Arabidopsis thaliana: one gene and its partner. The protein of the gene in region 2 interacts with the protein of the main gene of each other region in a pairwise test. Each region holds a gene or a part of one and is shown on either strand. Other genes may lie near its edges.

The links. Proteins that work in one complex are often made in the same cells at the same time.
Region 1: the proteins of MYB23 (region 2) and TOE3 interact in a two-hybrid assay, tested with the Arabidopsis thaliana proteins (one large-scale study listed by BioGRID).

What each region holds. Positions count from the first base shown.
Region 1 is NC_003076.8:26,799,534-26,806,144, forward strand, and holds TOE3 (target of early activation tagged (EAT) 3), read right to left. Parts: upstream 4,717-6,611; 5' UTR 4,402-4,716; coding exon 4,061-4,401; intron 3,978-4,060; coding exon 3,952-3,977; intron 3,845-3,951; coding exon 3,814-3,844; intron 3,713-3,813; coding exon 3,625-3,712; intron 3,516-3,624; coding exon 3,370-3,515; intron 3,267-3,369; coding exon 3,222-3,266; coding exon of another isoform or gene 3,137-3,221; intron 3,131-3,136; coding exon 3,036-3,130; coding exon of another isoform or gene 2,971-3,035; intron 2,961-2,970; coding exon 2,884-2,960; coding exon of another isoform or gene 2,833-2,883; intron 2,796-2,832; coding exon 2,586-2,795; 3' UTR 2,416-2,585; downstream 1-2,415. Other genes in the region: AT5G67170 (SEC-C motif-containing protein / OTU-like cysteine protease family protein), read left to right, coding at 318-368, 498-598, 688-763, 843-992, 1,076-1,137, 1,213-1,297, 1,387-1,536, 1,604-1,855 and 2 more.
Region 2 is NC_003076.8:16,124,168-16,132,829, forward strand, and holds MYB23 (myb domain protein 23), read left to right. Parts: upstream 1-3,557; 5' UTR 3,558-3,681; coding exon 3,682-3,814; intron 3,815-3,943; coding exon 3,944-4,073; intron 4,074-4,904; coding exon 4,905-5,301; 3' UTR 5,302-5,494; downstream 5,495-8,662. Other genes in the region: AT5G40340 (Tudor/PWWP/MBT superfamily protein), read right to left, coding at 7,487-8,662. UniProt on the Arabidopsis thaliana protein: Transcription activator, when associated with BHLH2/EGL3/MYC146 or BHLH12/MYC1. Regulates the epidermal cell fate specification. Mediates the formation of columellae and accumulation of mucilages on seed coats.

The DNA.
Region 1 (6,611 bases), about 11 Mb from region 2:
ATAGATAAGTGTGTGAAATTATTTTCTTAAAAAGATAAATAATCATAACTACAGTATTATAAATACACAAATTAAGAAATATGTAACGTGTTTAATCCTTGGTTTGATCAGAACTTTTAATTATCCGATGTGTATAAATTTTGAAGAAGGGCCTATAGTTTTGTTTCTTGATGGGCCAAATCAGGCCCAATAATGTCGTACATGGTTGTTCTTCATGTACCGGAGATTCGGCGGCGACGAAACCGTCCTCATTGCGCCGCCGCAACTACCCGACAAACAACTAGCTTTCGTATTACTTCCTTGTATCTGATTTGATAATGGCGAAAACTAAACAACAGAAATCTAAGCCTAAGAAACAACCGCATCAGGTTTTCTTCATGATTCTCAACTTCAATATATGATTTTTGTATTCCCAAATCAGTCTGATTCGATTAGTATTGGCCTGTTTTGCTCTGTGGAAAATATTGTAATTTGTTTGTGTGGTTGATTTGAAAAAGAAGCAAGGAAAGGATTGTGATCTCTCTCAATTTCGTGCTCAGCTTGACGCTTTAGGGCTTAAGATTATCCAAGTGACTGCTGACGGTAATTGTTTCTTCAGGTATGTCTTTTGCTTTGATCATCGAATTCGATTTGTTTTTTGAAGAACAAAGCAATCGTGTTAGATTGAATAGTGATTCTCTTTCACAGAGCAATTGCTGATCAATTAGAAGGCAATGAGGATGAACACAACAAGTACCGTAACATGATTGTACTTTATATAGTGGTAAGTGGCAGCCATTACTTAGTGATATTTGGAAACTGTCTCTCTATATGTATATACAATACTTGATGGCTTTTGACAGAAAAATCGTGAAATGTTCGAGCCTTTTATCGAAGATGATGTTCCTTTTGAGGATTACTGTAAAACCATGGACGATGATGGAACTTGGGCTGGGAATATGGAATTACAAGCAGCTTCTCTTGTCACTCGCAGTAATATATGTATTCACAGGGTAATAATAACAATGCCTCTTCTCATCATCTGCTTCGTTTTTATCGATACGTTTGTTTGAGCAGTGGTATCTTTATGTTGCAGAACATGTCACCGCGTTGGTATATACGCAACTTTGAAGATACGCGAACCCGCATGATCCATCTGTAAGTATACTTGGTTCTGTTAATGATTCTTTTATCGGTTTGAATTTGCTTTTACTTTAATAGTTTCTCTTTCAGGTCTTACCATGATGGGGAACACTACAACAGTGTGCGTTCCAAGGAAGATGCTTGTGGAGGACCAGCCAGGCCTGTTGTAATAGAGGTTTTACTTCAAACTTTAGCTCTGTGTTTATCTGTAATATACATAAATTGTCTGTTTTTCTGTCCTAATAAATTCCAGTTGTGTGGAAGGCTGATGCTAAAGTTTCAGCAGCATCTAAACAAGCGAAAGCTACAGAGAGCAAGTCCAAAAATAAAGCTGATAAGTGTCATGTGAATGCTGGAGCTATCAAAGTTGTCATGTCTGGTAGTTGTTGTGACAATACTGAGAAAGCTGAACAGGTGATAATGCGATGCTTGGTTAATGTTTGAGAGAATATCATGATCATTAGTCCTCTCTTATCTTTAGGTTCTATTACAAGTTAATGGTGATGTGGATGCTGCTATAGAATTCCTGATAGCAGACCAAGGAATGGAGTCTTTGACTGAAAATGATACAGAAACCGCCTCTGCATCAGATACCATCAACCCAAAGCATGCAAGTGATAGTCCAATGGAAAACACCGAGCAAGCCAGAGAAGAATTGATAGAGGAGGAATCAGCTAGCGGCAATAACAGTGAAACAGTCCAAGCCAAGTGCACTACACAGACCGATGATAAGGTTTGTTGGCTCGCTTAAACCATGAGATAGCTTATTTCCTTATGATTGCATTAAAATATGATCCGAATATAAAAGGATTTCTGTGAAAACTGCAGAAGATCCCAAGGAATAAAACATGTCCATGTGGTTCAAAGAAGAAATACAAGTCCTGCTGTGGAACAGCAACTGGGAGATCCTCTGTAAAACTGTTAGTGTAAGTTTCTTAAAACGGTTCTGCAAAACACTCAAAGCAGAACTTAACTAAAGATGAGTGTTTCTTGATTAATTTGCAGGAGCCAAACAATGGAGTCGAAGAAGGGGAGAAAGAATTTGAGAAGAGGAACATCGAATGAAGTTGAAGCAAATGCACCAGATGTTGGTGCTCTTTGTATATAATTAAGTCTCACTCACTCAAGGTGATCACGTTTTCACTCCATTTATTCACACCAAACTCTTTTATCTGTTTAGCAAGAACAGTAATTGGTTACTAAATCCGTTTGGTTATCTCTCTATTTCAGGCGAAGACATAAATTTAGTATGAACTTGGAGTTAGGATCACTCGCGAGTATACCTTTTTTGTTGTCTGATTAAATTAACAGAAAGAAAAAAACTTGTTATACCGTACTCAAGAACATATATGTATTACAGAGCCCAAAAATAGCTCGAGAATAACTCAAATTCATTAAAGCATAACTTGGTTAACACTAGCTCAGATGATGATTGTGATGATAGTGATGATGATGATGATGAATCAGGGACGAGAGAAGTGGAAGGTGCGAGGAATGCGGTAAGGGGAAGGTTGAGGAGAGAATCCTGATGATGCTGCCATTCCCACCACTCGATTTCCTCCACCGTCCGATTGCTGCTTTTCCGATCTGACAGTCGTCGTCATCATTGCTAGCGATAGATCGCTCCCTAATAATCTCTCCTCATCTCTAATCCTACTTCTTATGCTTGCAATCTTTAAAATTATCATACATATGAATTATATCACCAATTTAATTATTTTCCGACAAAAACAATATACATACACAAACATGAACACTTACATCAGACTTGAGTCTAAACTCTTCAGATGATGATTCTCCTAGACTTAGACCAAGATTATGACCGTTCCTCGTCGTCTCTGTTGATTTTTACAATAGAATCTGGTGACTGGAGTAAATTTTAAGACAAAAAAAAAAAGTAAAAATAAATTTACCTGAGCTAAGATCTTCTTCTTCCTCGTATACTTTAGGGTCAAAATTGGTAACAGCGTCTTTCCCATTACACTTTATTGCCGCTTTATCATAAGCTCTATATTCAAATTTCAGTTTTTTCATATTTCGTACCAGGAAAAAAGTAAATATTTTTTTTGGTGATGAGACAGTGAATAATGAAGAAGTACCTAGCAGCTTCAATCTCGGTATCAAAGAGACCCAAATAAACGTACCTGAAAAGATAGCAAACAAAAAAAGCAAACAGGACACTTCAAATTAATAAGAAACAGACTGGAAATTTAATATTTGCACCAAAAACTATGAAGAAATTAATACTTTTTGTTGAGGAATTGACCCAAACGTGACTCCCATCTTCCACATTTGTGCAAAGTAACACCTCTGTATTTAGAACTGCCTCTTGGAAACCCAGTGCTTTGCCTTCTAAGTACATGCATAAACTCTTCCTTTGTCAAATTTCCCATCTGCAAAAAAAAAAAACCAATATTTCATTGTGTTTTCTTCTGAGTAGTAAGTAATTAAATTACTAGTATAACCTAAAGTAGATATATCCATAAAAGACTTATATAGAACCTGTTTCAAATCGTCAAGGTAGTCTTCAATGTCGAAATTAATATCTGCATCTACACCTCTGAATTTAATCGCCGCTCGATCATAGGCTCTGTCTCAAATATTTATTGACCCATATTATAGCCAATAACAAAATAATGAACAAAAAATGATACTAGTATAGTAATGCGTTAGCTAGGTTCGAAAATATACCGAGCAGCAGCATGTGCAGTGTCAAATCCACCTGCATATATATGTAACAACAATTAGAAGGAAACAAAACCCTTTGTTTTGTCAAATAAATCGAAGACACAAAAGTTAAATCGTAATTTTTATGTATATGAACCATACCTAAGTACACTTGCTTCCCACAGTCCCTGCATAATATTCCAAAACATTTTATGAAAATAATTGAAATGATAACACTACATATGGTTTTAAAAGGTATTATGTGATTTACCAAATATGTGACTCCCATCTTCCGGTTCGTCGGTAAAACGTAACTCCTCGATACTGAGAGCTACGTGAGCGAGGACCACGTCGGCTCTTCTTTATCGGCGGTGATATCTCCGGCTCTTCTGGTCGACCCGATCCGCTTGGATCCGACTTACCGACACTATTGAAACCGGACCAACGAACTCCCGGTTCCATGCTTTGAGCCGGAAAGAAATTCCTGGTCACCGGAAGCACAAACGGTAGCCACGTTGCAGATTGACTCATCCCGTTTGACACGTGTCCGACCGGATTCCCTCTACTGTCGGATTCTTCGTGATGATCGGGTGAGTCGTTAAGGTTCCACATTATTTGTTGTTCCTTTGTGTAAAGTAAAGAGGAAAAAAAATAAGAAACTTGGGAGAGAAATAAGAGAGAAGAAGAAAACTCAGATGAGAATAACCATCAAAGCAAATAAAGGTAGGTTCTAAATAAATAACTAAATTATTTAATAGAATAAATATCTGACTCTATTCAAGTATTCATCATTAGAGAGGTGCAGGATTTTTTTTTATCAATGAAAGGAGTCAAAGGAAAAAAAAATATTTATGAAGAAATTCATTTTGAAAATTGATTCTTTCCCAATACAAGTGTATTAGACTGTCTCCTAGTTTTTGGTCTCCTGAGTATTGACATCACATTTTTCTTTTATATAAAAAGGGCAAGTAAATTCAGAAATTCAAAAGTTTGCTGAAATTATTATGGACTAAAATGTAGGATGTAGATGGGAGTATCTTTATTTTTTATTTATTGTCCTATTTAATTTCTCCTACTCCAACTACTCACAATTTATCATTTTAGGACTATAATTTATATCTTTCTTTCTTCTCCGAAAACAAATTGGGACATCAATTCAGCAGCATATGATTATTTTCAACATCAACAACATAATCATGTTGTTATCTACAAACAAAATTTTATGTTTGTTTAGTGGAGCGAAACTTTTTTAAAAATGTAATTCCCTGTATATTTGTTGAATATAGAAAATTACAAATGTGTAAAAACAAAAACAAAAAACAGGATGAACAAATCCGTGTAAAAGAGTTTCGTAGGAGAAGAAAAGGAAACGGAAATAATGTGATGGGAAAAGAAAAAAAACGAAGTAATACCTAAAATGCCCCTATCCAAGAGTACGGGAAACAGCTTTTTCTCTCTTTCCATTGCTTTGATTACACCTTCACTCTCTTGTTATACGCGCGTGTACTCACTCTCCCTTCACATTTTGATTTTTAATCATTGTTTTCACATTTACTTAAGGTATTTACATCAACTCAGAAAGAATAATCATCCTGTCTCTCCATTTTTTATTATGTTCATATACATCGACATTTTATTTAAAAAATTAAGAAAATTAGAAAGAAAAAAAATAGATGAATTTGAAAATGTATTCGACATATAACCTTTTTGAGATTTCTCGCATATGGGATTTTTATTAACGTCTCTACTGTTTCTTAAAAATTCCCCCATATCGTTAAAGTAATGTTTTATTTGAAATCAGCAATGAAAAATTATTGCAACAGTTGGTTATCGTTTATAAAAAGATAATCATAACTCTGGTTAATCATTCATCATGCAAGTATGCAACTATTGTTTTACTTTACTTTTTTTATAATGATGTTAACAGAATCTTGATACTGATATAGTTATACTTATTTTTTTTGTAGTGGATCATTTTCTTTTCAGAATCGTACTTATACTTGCATGTTTCTCTTGAGACAAGTTCAAGTTTAATTAGTAGCGTCTGCTGACCCAAAAAAAAAAAGAACGAATAAAATTGTCTATATTGACACACAGAATTTTTTGTATTTAAAAAATTTCAAAACGCATATTTCTAAATACGTGTTTAGTAGTTACTAAAGCAAAGAATAGGTGTGGGTAAAAGGAGATCCAAAGCGTGAAAGAATAATATTACAAGTGGGGGAGGAAAAAGCCAAACCTTCCCCTAATGGAACTATGACGATGCTTTGATGCTCTCTGTTTCTTTCCCTAAGTAGTAATTACAAAAACTCCCTCTCCCTCTTTCTCTCTACGCATATATCGACTCCCATAATGGCAATCTTAGCCCCACATTTCCCATAATGGCAATCTTAGCCCCACATTTGTCTCGCTAACAAATCATATCGGATGGCGTTTTTCTTTTTGATTGTAGATAGCTTTTTTCCCCTATCATGGAATCCAACCAATTTGAAGATGCCACAAGAAGATATATTGTTACCAAAGTATTAATCAGTGATTAGCATGCATGTACCATATATTTTTATTCAATAGCGAATCTATAGAAATCAAATCTAGGATATATGTGTATGTTCAGTATTTATGATGGATTATTGGTTTTAGAATTCATATATTTTATACTTCTTCACATATATTATCAAAATCCAATTTCAAACTTCGAAAGACTCACATTTTAACAAAAGTAACACGCGTAATAATGTGAATAACGACGTTTTCAAATAGGTTTGTGCTTGTCCACATCTTATTCAACCTTATCATGATCTATAATCCAGTTTCTGACTAAA
Region 2 (8,662 bases):
AAGCCTCCAGTAGAGTTTTCAGCATTTTAAGTAAGTAGATATTTTTAATTAAACAGCCATGAAAATATTAATTTTTTTTTTTTTCATCCAATTTTAGTTAGAAGTTTAAAATGTCAAAATTAAAAACATTATTTATAGAAATGATAGAAATTGATTTGATGTGAACTTTTCGCATCAGATTATCCGTGTTGAAATATTAAAGATAAAAACGAAATGTAACAATAAAAATTTGAGGGGTCACGAGTCATGGACCTTTCGTTAGTGTATTTCTATTTACAGCCTACCCACTTGTGATCGACACATCAATGATTAGGAAACCTCCTCTTTATTTGGAGTACACAATAAATTCATAAATTAATTAATTATTGAATGTATAAAAAATTGCACGTGACCATTTACAGAAAATAAATTCCAATTAAAATCAATGTGTGAATGAAAATAAAACATGTCGATTGCCAACGGCTTGGTTAGACAGACAATAGCGTGTTCTGAGTTTGACTGTGCTAATGGTATATTGATGCCTTCTTTTCTTGTATAACATCTCCCAAAATACCTACCAAGCTTATTAGCACAAACAAAGTTCACTTGAAGCTTTAAGCTGTCTCATGGACTTTGTTTTGTGAGATTATATGAGGTCCATTAAAATTTGCCCCGACTTTAAAATCAAAGAAAAGAAAAAGAAGAAAAGAAAAGAAAATCGAGAGTGCATAGAAAAAACTACAAACGCTTTTGATCTTATTTGGAAGTTCAAAATACTTTTAATTAACTATCCATGTTGATCACAAAGAGATTTCTTTATAAAAAAACTTTTGGCACTTATATGACACAAAAATCACTTCATATATATAGTTGGTAACTTATCCTTAAATTACTATATCTTAAGGAGATCAACTGTTGAATCTTTCTCTAAGTGATTTAAAGAAAATAAGAAGATAAGTGAAACTGATGATGTGCTAGTCAAATTGATATTTTAAAACATCTTCACATGAACAACTATTTTTAATAAATTAGGTATTACAGTCACTCACTTACAAAGTATGATGTTTTCATTTACAAAAAAAAAAAAAAGTTGTTACTCACTACAATGTTAGTCTAAAATGCACACAATAATCTTGGTAGGACTCTCATACCATAAGGCCCTTTAACTACCATGCACTCCACTGGTGATTTCACGTTTCTTTTCGGTTTAGTTTATTGGTTTTAGAATATTAGTATAGTTTGTTGTTCAAACGGGAAAAAAAAAGAATATTGGTATAGTTTATTATTTGGATCCACACAAGACTAAAATACAACAAAAATGGGTACATTTAAATTCTTTTTCACAAGATGTTTATAATGATTTATGGGAGATTTATAACAAACCTTATAAATTATTGATGGAAAATCTAAATGTGAATAGCTCTATACAGAAATTTAAAATAATAAATGAATGCAATGAGATGAAATGTAAGAAGCAAAAACAGTTTAATTACACAATTTAATGGTTAATTTCTATTTTTTTTTTCTTTTTCTAATAATATATAACTAAAGTATCATTTGACAAATGCATTTAAGAAAGGAAATTATATTTTAGTAAATAACAAAATAAAGATTATAAAAGGGTATAGTTGTTCTTGGATATATACTTTAAGATTATGCCTATTTTGGAGAAATTTCTCTCATGAAATATTTTAGGAAGATCCTTTATGATTATATAATATCATATTTATGATACCATTTCTTAATATAGTAATTTATGTTTATTGAAAATTTTATCCCATGCAATGTCAAAACCTAGTAGAGAATTAAGATTGCTTAGCTTATTTTTTAGTCTATAGGACTTTACGAATACAATGTATGAAATACGAATGTTAGTGTAGTTAATTAATAGATTAGATGATCAACATCAACTAGTTGGGTTGATCTGAAAGTAAGTTTTGGAATTAAAAGGATCTATAGGTCCTATATCATTAATTATCCATAAAACTAATAAAAGTAGGCTAAATCAAGTGGAAGCTATAATCTATAGACGTACATAATTCATATGCCCGACATAATATATTTAGTGTAGTGATTATCATATTACATTACTGTCTAGAGTTTGGTATCACGGATACTTATGTTTTTGTATCAAAGATGTTTAATTCTATAGTTTAGTTATAACTTATAACTGATAACATTGTTTGGAGAATAGTAACTATTCTTAAAGCAAATTTTACATGTTAAACTCTTTTGTTTTTGTTTTTTTTTGTCAAAGTTGTGTATTCCTATTTCCTGAACAAAACTATTATATACAGACTATATTCGTATATTATATTTTTTGTTGTCAAAGTTGTATTTTCCTGTTTCATACTATATATATCGACTTCAACTCCCTCCATTGGGATCCGATCCAAAAAATAATACTCATATGAACATATACACACATGACATATTGACATATCTTAGCTGGATGAGCCAGAGGATCTTCTATGTTTGGTATTAATATAAAAAGTAAAAACTGCCTACTGTCTATCCCAAGGGAATATTATTGTGTCCAATAGTAATTACCTTCCTTTTTTTCAATTTTCACTTCTACTTAACTTGTTAGTTGGGATACACATGTCTACCTAGACATATCTTGTTACAGTTTTTACATACTTTATTAGATATGGATAAATTTGGTTATAAATAAATCCCAGATTTTTCTTTCAAAACATATTTACTATCAATACATTTTTAAAATGAAAAACAAAATGTGAGGCTTGAGTATAACATATGTAAAACAGGTGTAAAAAAGTAAGGAAACAGATATAGATATATAGTGTTACAAAAAAATATAATACAAATTTAATTTAATTTATAACTTTTGGTAAATTATAACGAGCAAGAAATTTGAAACTCGGAATATGAAGTAAATTATTTCGTTAGATCAATAAAATATTTTTCTAACGGGTGTTAACACACACCACAATTTTACGTGGACGTTTTTGCTCTTAAATCTCAACTAAATTTTAGATTTTTAATTTTTAGGCAAAGCGTTTCCAAATCTTTCTTATAAGAAAATATACAATAGAAGAAACATAGTACACCGTTTTCAACTAATAGTTGAGGAATATTGAGTTTATTCGGATCACATATTTTTAGTATTGTTCAACCAAAACCAACAAGATAGAGAGTCAACAAGCCCTTCCAGTTCTTTATATAGTTTCCCTACTAAATCCATCTATTAATCAATTTGAGAACAAACTCTTCAAATCCTCTATCTCCTTTTTTGATAAAAACATATTTTTACTTTGCCACAACTAACTAATACTATACTTTATTTTATTTGATGAATTCTCTCATATATTAGTAAGAAGAACATGTTGTCTATATCTACACCCGTTTAAATGGTTAAATCAATTTCGTTAGGTTGACTTATTGGTAAAAGAATGTAGGGATTGACTTTACCATATACGGACTTTTTGGAGAGACAACAGCAAACAAAACAAACATGTCCTTACGTATATATATATACGCACATATACATGTAAACAAAACAATATATACGTCACACGAATCATATATATATATAGAGTCAGGCTCGACTAATCATCACCGACTCAGCCACTTTCTCTCTCTCTCTCTCTCTCTCTCTCTCTCTCTCTCTCTCTCTCTCTCTCTCTCTCTCTCTCTCTCTCTCTCTCTCTCTCTCCTCGGGATCAAGAAAAGTGAAGAAGAATGAGAATGACAAGAGATGGAAAAGAACATGAATACAAGAAAGGTTTATGGACAGTGGAAGAAGACAAGATCCTCATGGATTATGTCCGAACTCATGGCCAGGGCCACTGGAACCGCATCGCCAAGAAAACTGGTATTTATACTCTCTCTTTCTATTATAGTACTCTCTTATTTCTTCTGGTATACTTGCTCTTACTTCTCTCTTTCTTGTCCTAAGAAATAAAAATTAGTACTAAAGATTGAAACTTTTGATGATAATTAGGGCTCAAGAGATGTGGGAAAAGCTGTAGGTTGAGATGGATGAACTACTTAAGCCCTAATGTTAACAGAGGCAATTTTACTGACCAAGAAGAAGATCTCATCATCAGACTCCACAAGCTCCTCGGCAACAGGTTCTTTTTTTTCTCCATATATTCAAAGATATATATTTGCTTAATTTTCTTTTATACAATTCTAATAGTATTATATATGTTAGATCATGTGTTTTGTTGTTCGGTGCTGCATTCACGTGAATCTTTAAATTGTTTATATGTGTACAGCTTGCTAGCTATATATCACATATATCTAATCCATAATTTATATATTTATAATATATGTTTTGTTGTTCGATCCTTAGTTCACGGTAATCTCTAAATTGTTTATTATTATTTATTTATTTTTGGTTGAAACATCTCTAAATTGTTTAGTTGTGATATAGATTACTTATATTTAACTGATATATTATATTCATTTATTCATAAAATAAGTGTATTTTATTAAGCTACTATTTACAAACGTCCACAAAGCAAATAATGGTTATTCAAAAATAGTAGTAAGAAACGGATCGTAAATTTGAATCAAAAATCTTAGATCTGTCCTTTGTTTTTTCGGCCATTAATTTGTATAGCTAGGTTTCTATTCAAAAAATATGCTTTCTCGAACCTAACAATGATTCATAATTGTACTCATTTATGGATCATCTGTATATATATACACATGTCTCATATAAACATCTACAACATACATAATCTGGCTACATGTATTACGCACATGCTCTATATAGGTCCATGCATAAGCATTAACTCCGTTTTACAAGATTTCTTGTTTCAAAAGTTTGCCACATATTTATAGCACATTCGAAAATCCATATAGTGTATAATACAATATTTATTTATTATAATTGAAGATTAAGAGACCACAAATAAAAATATTAATCTAACATCGTAAATTCTTTTAATATTTAGATGGTCGTTGATAGCGAAAAGAGTTCCGGGAAGAACAGACAACCAAGTAAAGAATTACTGGAACACACATCTCAGCAAGAAACTTGGTCTCGGAGATCATTCAACTGCCGTCAAAGCCGCATGCGGTGTAGAGTCTCCACCGTCTATGGCCCTTATAACCACAACGTCCTCCTCTCATCAAGAGATCTCCGGTGGAAAAAATTCAACTCTAAGGTTCGACACTTTAGTTGACGAATCCAAACTCAAACCAAAATCCAAACTAGTCCACGCAACACCAACTGACGTAGAAGTTGCAGCTACGGTTCCAAATCTGTTCGATACCTTTTGGGTTCTTGAAGACGACTTCGAGCTTAGTTCACTCACTATGATGGATTTTACTAATGGGTATTGCCTTTGAATATCTTTGATGATTAGCTTCTAAAAAGTAATTAATTATCGAATAATAGATTATAATGAACAATAATAATAATATGAATACAATTAAATTTTTTTCCGAATATTTGCTTGTAGCTTTTGTACTTTCTTTTGTAAAAGTAAGGATGATCAGTTGATAAAAAAATCTTATACTAGAAAGTTATTTGGTTATGTCCCTAATGTAACCAACTTAAATATCCTATTAGTTTACAAGTTAAGTGTTTATACTTCTACTTCATTCGTACATTGGCGTTCACATAAGATTTTCCGTATTTTGTACAGAAAAGAACAACTTAATCAAATTAAAGTGATAACTAGTGCATTTTCAGCTGTGAAAACTAACTCTTGGTTTCTATATCTAATTCTGGATTCTCCAAAAAAAAGGTCAATCCTAACTTTTAGTGTAGTGGAAAATACAGACTACCAATATCTAATTTATACTGTATCATTTAGTTTGGCATCTTTCTAATAATGATTTATACTCGAACATTTATAAATAAATGGTATAGTTTTAATATGTGAGAAAATCTAAAATGATAAAAGGAGAGTAAAATATAATCTTCGCTTGCATAAGGTCGGAAATTTTTTCATTTTAAGTCAACAAATATGGTCAACCGAGATAATCCAGCTGTTACAAGCCTTGATTCTACGTATCACCCGCTTGTAAGATTTTTATAAAATGAATGAGGTCTTGTCAGGTTAGGCTCTTTGTGTCTCTTAATTATACATTAATTACATTGACTAATGTTAGAGTTCTGAAATCAATGACGATTAATCTATCATACATATTCATACTTTAGATAAGACCAGACCTCGTACGTTGGAATTTGAAAGTTAGTTGAAGAAGCCAAGACTGTTAGAGATTATTTTTTCTGGTTGACTTAAATAAATTGTTCCAACAAAAAAGTAAACCAAATCATTAAAACGTATTTATGTCTTAAAATTAAAACCAATCACGTTAACGTGACTTGGTAGATTTCGTGACAGCAATGGATATCTTGAATTCTCATCTTTTATTTATGAATTGAGGAGCAATATAATCATCTCACATTTATTTTGTAAGAATTTATCATTTTATGTCATTTATTTACTAAATAATTTTATATTTTATTCATATTTAGGCATTTTAATTGTTTCATAATTTTATTATTATCATAGATGTGATAAACTAAAAAATAGTAGATATATTGTCCCGTTATTTTTTCTTATGTATGTATTTTACTGCACATAAATTAATCTTCTGAATTTTTTATTTTTTATTTTTTTTTAATTTTGGTAAAAGGTGAAATTTTATACCATTTTTGTTTTTGACAGAATTACAAGGAAAAGTAGAAGCAGAACAAAACAATTTACAGAAAATTAAAGAACAACATTACAACTCTAATTGCAAAGGATCGCCGATGAGTGATCAAGGCCAAGTTAGGAGGAGAAACACCGATTCCGAGTCCGCGAAGCTCGGAAATTTGCGTTGTTGCCGCAGTACCGAAGTATTGGAATCCTCATCCTAGTTGCCACGAGCATGATTATTCAAGGTCCGTCCACAAAACCTCAAAGATAGAAGTCTACAGCTTCTCCGAGAACTAACGCAAAAACGAACAAGCAAACATGAACAAGCAAACATGATTAAGCCTAATGTTCTGAATTTGATAATTGAATTTGAAATTGGCCAAATATCTTAATTAACTCTTATACATTATCTGGATACATTTTTTGTGATCAATCAAATGGTTGAATTTGTTCATTGTCTTAGAACATTTATGTTGTTGGATCACTAATTAGCATTACGTAAATGATTCAGTCTCGACGAGACTCCCTTTCTAATAAAAATCTCCAACCTCCCTCTTTGTATGGCTTCATCAAACATTCAATACTCGTCGAAAGGATTTTGAAAATTTTGTTTGTAATATAATAAAATTAGTGGGCTTTCAAGAGAGTGATAAACCAAAAGCCCACTAATGGGTTTAGTATCAAAGTTGGTAAACTTTAAAAAAGTCTACACAAAAACATAGAACATCGATCTAATTCTGTCTACCCTACGACAAGATCATAGTATCACCAAGACATTAACCTCTCAAAATACTTTTGTTATGTTTTGCAGAAACCATAAATATCCTAAAACCTGTCCTGAAAGTTCTCAACCAACAAAATAAAAACATAAAATCATAATCCTAAGAAGATCTCATCTCTATCACTTTCTCCAACAAATTTACCATCTCACCTTCAAGTTTCACTTTCACTTCTTCAGTCATTCCTCCTTCGCATCCATCAAGTAACAATTTCATCTCATCCAGCTTTTTCTTCAGATATTCCACCTCCATTGTCGTCTCTGCAACTTCAGCTTCAGTTTTCTTCTCCTCTGTTCTCTCATTTGGATACTTGAGTCTGAATTTCACCGTCGAATTAGAAGTAAACGGACATTTCTCTAGTGAGGATTCAAAGGCTTTTTCTCCATCAGCTACATCCAAGAAAGCCACATGGGCAGAGAAGTTGTTGTCGACCGTATCAGTTCTCTCTTTGTCCAAAGCTCCAAATTTTTCATATATTTCAATCAGATCTTCCTTTTTAGGCAAACTTGAACCAGGACCAAATGTAACATATAGCTCAGCTCCTGAAAATTCCGTCTCAGTTTCTTTCTTTTTAGACTTTCCCTCTCTCTTCTTTTTCTTCTTCTTCTCGGGTTTCTCAGTCTCATTCGGGACTTCTTCTTCGTCGTGTTTAGGCTTCTTCCGTTTTCTCTCTTTCTTGGTTGATTCAACAGACTCTTTCCGGGTTTCTTCTTCTTCAACTGCTTCTGCCTTCTTCTTTGATTCAGGATTCTTACGTTTTCTCTCTTTTTTAGTTGACTCACTTGGCTCTTTCTGAGTTTCTTCTTCTCCATCTGATTGCTTCTTTGATTCAGACTTCTTACGTTTTCTCTCTTTCTTTGTTGACTCATTAGCCTCTTTCTGGGTTTCTTCTCCTTCACCCCCTTCCTTCTTTGATTCAGACTTCTTACGTTTTCGCTCTTTCTTCATTTTCCCATGCTTGTCTGTCTCATTCTCTTCTTTACCAGTTACCTCTATCTCCTCTGCTTTCTGCTTTGCTTTACCCTTCTTATCTTTCTTCTCTTTCCCCTTAGTTACAGGCTTACCCATCTCACTCAGTTCTTCCTTTTCTTTATCCGAACTATCATAGCTCCCTAAGAACTTGTGATTGGCTCCATCATGATATGTGAAGCTTCTATAGATGGTCATGAATTCTCTTACCATGTCTCTTGAGCTACTGTCTTTTGGATATTGTGTGCCAAGAGCAGCTACACGAATTAGATCCTGCATTTCCTTTGGTGTAGCTCCCAACCTCAGAAA